Regions from separate parts of the Mus musculus genome. Here region 2 is reported to be linked to region 1. Evidence: microRNA targets listed by miRTarBase, many of them from high-throughput screens and not tested one by one. Region 1 holds a microRNA gene; the other region holds the end of a gene's coding sequence.

Region 1 (3,406 bases):
ACTGGCAAGAACTGGTTTTCTAAGTCCCTAGTTCTTTTATTCCTTTCTGCCTTGTCACTGCCCTAGCGCCTGCAACTTCAGGCAAGCCAGAAACTACTCCAGGCTTTTCCACACTGCCCTTCTCATGAACCAACCCCATTTTGGTCTCCACTCTTCTAGAAACACCACGATGTTTCCAATCTCAGCCTACCCATTGATTTCAATACCCCCCTCCCACAAGGGCCCCAATTTTTCCAACCCATGTTCCTTTTTTTTCATTTATTTATTCATTTTACATCCCCATAGATGCCCCCTGCTCCTGGTCCCCCCTCCCACAATCCCTCGCCCTATCCCCCCCAACCCATGTTTTTCATTCTCTGGTCAGCTCTGGTCCCCCATGCTTAGACAGAACCCATCCTTTTCTCAGACCTTGGGCATCTTCACAAGGGGCTGCCATCTCCCAGGCTCCCTTGCCCAGGTTTGGATGAGGTGGCATCTGGCTCTCTTACCTCTACTGTCCTGCCCCAAGGCCCTGAGGCTCCCTACCCCTTTGCTAAGAACAGGGAAGTATCCTTTCTTTCTGCATCATCCCTTCCCTGTTCCTGATCCTACTCCCTCTTTTTTTTCCTCCGCTCCCAGAACTTCTGTTTTCATTACCAAGTAAAAAGGGAATTTGGGACCTTCCATTTAATCCCATTAGAAAGACAGTGTCTGAGAGCTCTGTCTCTCCAGGGAGGCTGTAATGTGAATGTGGCCCCCCCACCCCACCCCACTGGAGCAGGAAGGTGTGGCTTGGGCCCAGTGACCAGAGTCTGTGGGAAACTTTAATGGCCATGCACAATGGCCTACAGGGTGAAGTGAGCCTGGGCCAGCCGGGCACCGGGTGTTACCAGATGAACATAGGTTTGCCGTCATCGTGGGACAGCTGATGGAGGCAGGAGAGCAGCAGGAGGGCGTCCGTGAGCTTGCTGGGGTGCACGGTTTCCAATAGCACACGCTGCAAGAAGTCCACCGTGTAGCAGCCACCTTCAGATGCCGCCAGCTCAGGCCGCTCGCGCAGGATGCCGTACTCATTGACCAGCTGTTCTGTCAGTGCCGGGTGCACCCGCCCGTTGTAGCCTAAGCTCTGCAGCTTGTTCATGATGCTCACGTAACGCTGTGTGAGCGTCTGGCACAGGTCCTCATCCAACTTGTGATTACTGGGGTTTAGGGAGGCCTGTTGGGGAGAGTGGCCATCAGGGACCCCCCACACACACACACCCCACCCTGGCTCACAGGCAGGCGGGAAGAGCAGGGGCAAGGGAGGCCGGGGGAAAGGAAATTGTGAAGTATTGCTATGAGGATGCCAAGAGAGGAGAAGCCATGGTCCCTGAAAGGTCCAGAGGGCTGGGCCTGAGGTCAAGGCACCCAAAAACCCAACTCAGGCAGGCCCAGAGGCTCCCCAAAGCTGCTAGAGACATGCATCCCACTGTTTTTTTGTTTTGTTTGTTTTTTCCTTCCACCAGCTATGTGGGACTATGTGGCTTCCAGTATGGGGGCACAGGGAGTTCTTCATACTCTCAGGTTGCCAGACCCCAGAGTTTGCATGCTTTCCCAAGAGCTAATAGAAAGCACTTAACCTGGAATAACAGACACCGTTCTAACAGGGCAGGAAGGTCTTCCTGAACATCACCTTTCCCGAGGCCCCCGTGGAGTCAAGGTACTGACATTTCTACCAAGCACGCCCATGCTGACAGGCTGATGGGACTTCCATGTGGGAAGACGTATTTCCACATAGAAGGTGGCAGGTCTCTGGGGGGCACCATGGGTATAGCACTGGCTCTTCAGGGACAGTTGTACTCAACTGGGGACACCCACCTGATCTCTCTGCTGTGTTGGGACTGGTGCCCCTGGTATATTCACTGGGAAAGTCCCTTGGTGTGTTGACATTTTTCTGGGCAGTACGGCAAACGCGATTTTGTGTCTTTCCTGGAGCTGGGGACCCTATTATATTAAATCCCTATCTGTGTACATCAGTTGCTGTCTGCAGCCAAGCACACTGGATGATTTGTCTAAGAAGGCAAATCTGTCAGGCAGGGAGGAGCACAATGAGAAGGCCAGTGCGCTCCTCGGATAGATGCAGGGAAGGTGGCCTGTGGCATTTGTTGCTTTGTATATTTTTGCAAAAAGAAGTAGCCAGTGTGATCTGTGGTGAGGAAAGAATTAAGGCCTGGTAGAATGCTGACCTTTTCACAAGGGCCTGGATCACCAAGCACCAGAAGAAGAAGGAGGAGGAGGAAGAAGAGGAGGAGGAAGAAGAAGAAAGAAGAGGAACAGGAGGAAGGGGGAAGAAGGGGAGGGGGAGGGGGAGACTACAGAGCTCCAGCCTAAGCCTTCTCTAGAAGACCCCACTGTGCTCCCAGACAACCTCTGCCAAGCTAAGGACTTTGATCTGATGAGCTAAGCTGGAGTTCCCATTCACCTGGCTCCAGGCTCATCAGATGAAAGTCCTTAGCTTAGGTGTGGCCTTTGTTGGAGTAGGTGTGGTGTGGCCTTGTTGGAGGAAGTGAGTCACTGTGGGGGTGGACTTTAAGACCCTCCTCCTAGCAGAAGCCAGTCTTCTGTTTGCCTTCGGAATAAATTGTAGGACTCTCAGCTCCCCTTCCTGCACCATGCCCGCCTAGAAGCTGCCGTGCTCCTGCCTTGATGAAAATGGACTGAACTTCTGAATCTGTTAAGCCAACCCCAATTAAATGTTGTCCTGATTAAGAGTTGCCTTGGGGGGGGGGGCGTCCCATAATCAGTCACCAAACACAGACACTATTGCATACGCCAGCAAGATTTTGCTACAGTACCCTGATATAGCTGTCTCTTGTGAGGCCATGACAGTGCCTGGCAAATACAGAAGTGGATGCTCCCTGTGGAGGCCCCCAATGGAGGAGCTAGAGAAAGTACCCAAGGGGCTGAAGGGGTCTGCAACCCTATAAGTGGAACAACAATATGAACTAACCAGTACCCCCGGAGCTCGTGTCTCTAGCTGCATATGTAGCAGAAGATGGCCTAGTCAGCCATCATTGGGAAGAGAAGCCCCTTGGTCTTGCAAACTTTATATGCCTCAGTACAGGGGAACGACAGGGCCAAGAAATGGGAGTGGGTGGGTAGGGGAGCAGGGCAGAGGGGAGGGTATAGGGGACTTTTGGGATAGCATTTGAAATGTAAATGAAGAAAATATCTAATAAAAAAAAAGTTGCCTTGGTCATGGTGTCTGTTCACAGCAGTAAAACTGTGTGTGTTCTGGGATTGAAGGCATGTAGCACCACATCTGGTTTATGTAGTATCGCTAGGCAAGCATTTCTATCAGCTGAGCTACATGGAAGCACTAAGTTTAATGCTTTGTTTCGTTTTTTTTGGGGGGGGGGAGTTCAAGACAGGGTTTCTCTGTGTAGCC
Region 2 (3,406 bases), not on the chromosome of region 1:
CCCTGGGGAGATGCTACACACATATCTATTCACCCCAGATAGGGATCCCATGACAGACCAAAGTACAGGTACCACTGAAGTTCAACTTGGTGAACCAATGAGTTTTACTGTGGTTACTTACAGGAATATGGGTGAGAGGTTACATACAGGAAAAGTACTGACAACAGCAGCTGCATCACCAAAGCCCATTCCAGCATGGGTGAGAACTAAATGTCTTCCAGGCTGCTAAGCTGACCTCTGCTTTTTCCAGGCAATTGATCTGGTCTCAGGGTTTTCTTTGCAGCTTGTCTTGTATGAGAGTGACTCTCAAAAGTCCTGTTTACTCTTGAAGGAGGGGCCTAGTGAATCTGGTCAGTTTTGGGGACTTCCTGAAGCTCGTTTGAGTTGTTTAACTTCTGTTAAAGAGCTTCCCTGCATGATGGAGTTTCTCAATCTAGAGGGAAACTATCAAACAATAGCTACCGCTTTTTGAGTTGTTGCTCAATGGGGTGACATAGACTTCCAAGTAGTATATAGACTATGGTCTATACTGTTATCCTCCAGAACTTGATAGTAAGATCCTATCACTAGTCACAACAGAACATGGAAAAATCAAGCTGGTACTCACCTGGGAGCTTTACCCCTATTGGCTAGTGTTCACAGTGCTAGAAGATGCTATGCATGTTGCCGGAGAAGAAAAGTCATCATCAATCTCACTTAGGTGTGAACCCTGCAAGCTACAAGAACTGGTTTGGCAAGATTTGCCCACTGGGGCAATAAGAGCATGGTATGGGAGCCGTCAATCACTTTCTGATAGGATCTGAGGCTATTCCATGAGAATTGGACCCATACCCAGCATTGTTCAAGTAGCCAAGAATCTGTGGCTAGATAGACCAGAGGCCTTAGGGAAGAATCAATTACTGTTATTCTGTTAGATAGACACAGTAAAAAATGACTTCAAATCACGTTGCTAACATGTAATATAGATCAGTACATCTCTCACCTCTCATCAGAGAAGCATGTCTCAATAGATGGCACTTCACAGAGAAATACTCGACTGATTAACATGCAAAGAATATGAGACTGGAGTGCTCAGTCCTAATACCCCTGAACAAAATGTTCAGGGATCTTTGAAAAAAGGATCAGATGAAATACTATGAGAGCTAGATATGGCTGATCATACCAAAGAAACTGTTCTCAGACAGAATGGGACAGACATATATGAGTTAATAGCAATTGTGACAGACTCCGGAAGACCTGTACAAGCTCTAACCAGACAAAAATGCCAGCACAAAGGGACAAAGGTAGACATGGAATTCTATGGCTAGCTGGGAAGCTACTGGCATTTGCTAGTTGCTGGCAGAGGAAAAGGCAGTTTTCTTTAATGATGTGGTTGACCATATAACAGGGCAGGCCCCACTCCCATGACCAGCTGGGCAACACATACTGGGCTTGATGGGTAAAGAAAAAAAAATGAAACCTCAAAATTGTTTGGCAACATATGGTGGGTGGAGAGGCAATAATAGGAGGACTTAGGAGTGATGAATATGTTCAAAATACATGTACAAAATTTTCAATGGGCAAAAGCAGAGACAAACCTTTTGGCTAAATTTCAGAGTCCCAGTAAACTTGATTTTGGCAGTTTTCTCTCCCCAGATACTCGTATTTGGAAGGGTCTGGCCTCCCCACAGCCTTCTAATAACACCATGTTATGTTTCTAAGTTCAATTACTTTGTTAACATTAAAAAAAATTTTTTTTTGTTTATGTATATACACACATGTGCTTGTATCACAGTGTGTGTGTGTGTGTGTGTGTGTGTGTGTGTGTGTGTAGAAGTCAGAAGACAACTTCTGGGAGTTGGTTCTCTCCTTTCACCATGGGCAGCCCAGGGATCAAACTTAGGTGGCAAGGGCCTGTACTTGCTAAGCTGTCTTATGGGTCTTTTTGTTAGCGTGTTCATTTGTTTGATAGTGTGAAGTTTGTTTGTTTCTGAAAGGATATACACAAGAGACATACACCTAGAAATGTAGTTTTGAAAAAATCAATAAAATGATTTTATTTCATATATGCAAAGTGAAAATCTCTTTGATCACTTACATTTTTACAAATAAAAACAACAATACTGCTCCATATAAACTTCTGTATAAACTTCAAAGAAAATATACATATTATTTTTCCTTTTGGTGCTTCCAAAGCACAAAAATGTACAAGTCCACCTGAAAGCTTTCTGTTGTCACATGCAAGAACAGATGTCAGAGGTTAGTGCAGCCTCAGATACACTTTGTAATGGTCCTAGTCAAAGTGGAAGAGCACTCGAGGTAGATTGTTTGCTGACTCCCCCTGCCCTTTCCCAGAGAGAATTAAGTTACCGAAATAGCAGCTTTTTACTCTTTGATTCCAACGATCCTGAATATTGCATGGTTTAAAAGGCACAGCTAGAAATCTTTGAAGAGTTCTTTGAGCACAAGATCACCACGTGGACTCTCTCTGCTTTCGTGTTCTTTAGCACACAATGAGGACAGTAGGTAGTGCTCGCCTTGGAAGTGGCCAGTCCCTATTCACTCTGAAACCGCCTGGAATGGCAAGGTCCAAAATGAGTGAACTCTACTAGCTGTAGTAGGAGCAGCAGTGCTCTGTGATTCAGCATCTCTTTTCCTAATTGGAAAAAATAAACAACGAAATGAAAAAAATATTCTCAATAATTCTTAAGGCAAAAGCCCAGATTTTACTTCCAGATAATCGTTAAAAGCTCAAGTCAACTCCTTTCTCATAGCCTGAGTTAGGTCGCTCTGTCACTCAAACATACTATAGGGCTTCAGTAACGTCCCATTGCATTTGAAAGCACATAAAAGGTGTTCTTTTTCCTCACTTGGCTTGGCATTAACATGATGATCTGCTGTTGATGTGATTCACATTGTTAAGAAGGTGGTGGGAATCGATTTTTTCTAGTACCTTCTCAAGGTACTGAATTAAGACTCTTCTTTTAAACCTGAAGAGAAAAAGAGAGTAAGCATAAGTGTCATAGACAACTTTACAGAGTGCCAGGTGTTATGTAGCCTGCAGGCCAAAGGGAGCAGAAGTCATCCTCATGGAAAGAGCAGGGCTGAGCAAGGGGACATGCCAATCTGATGAGCGCACATACACATTAGCTAGAACCCATGAGTCAGGACTCTGGTAGCATCCATCAGAACACTGCAGGAAGCACCCTTACCTATGAGTAGAACAAGTGCTTTCAAAGAGAGAAAGAGAGAGAGAGAGAGAGAGAGAGAGAGAGAGAGAGAGAGAGAGAGAGAGAGAGAGAGAGAGACTTTATCCTTCATTGGATCCTACTACTAAATTAAAACAAAGACAAATAGAACCCAAAGCAATTAGAAAGCCTATACAAGTGCTGTTTATACCGACCTTGCAGCTTCCTTGATGGTAAAT

What was found. Region 1 holds the annotated microRNA mmu-miR-3079-5p (UUUGAUCUGAUGAGCUAAGCUGG, at 2,405-2,427, shown strand). A microRNA usually pairs through its seed, bases 2 to 8, with sites in the 3' UTR of a target mRNA and lowers its output. Matches are read on the target gene's strand: a 7mer-m8 pairs with bases 2 to 8, a 7mer-A1 pairs with bases 2 to 7 and ends in A, and an 8mer does both.
Region 2: the mRNA of Ints6l is a reported target of mmu-miR-3079-5p. Seed matches in the 3' UTR shown: 7mer-A1 at 2,065-2,071.

Annotation. Positions count from the first base shown.
Region 1 is chr15:76,289,953-76,293,358 of GRCm38, reverse strand. It overlaps Mir3079 (microRNA 3079), which reads left to right and starts at 2,391; the gene lies at 2,391-2,480. Spatc1 (spermatogenesis and centriole associated 1) reads right to left here. Exons shown (of 5, transcript NM_028852.1): 5 at 787-1,195. The coding sequence ends at 866.
Region 2 is chrX:56,506,443-56,509,848 of GRCm38, reverse strand. Ints6l (integrator complex subunit 6 like) reads right to left here. Exons shown (of 17, transcript NM_172779.4): 16 at 3,383-3,406; 17 at 2,006-2,969. The coding sequence ends at 2,861. Among named protein-coding and RNA genes, the nearest start is that of Gm648, 41 kb to the left of the region's middle.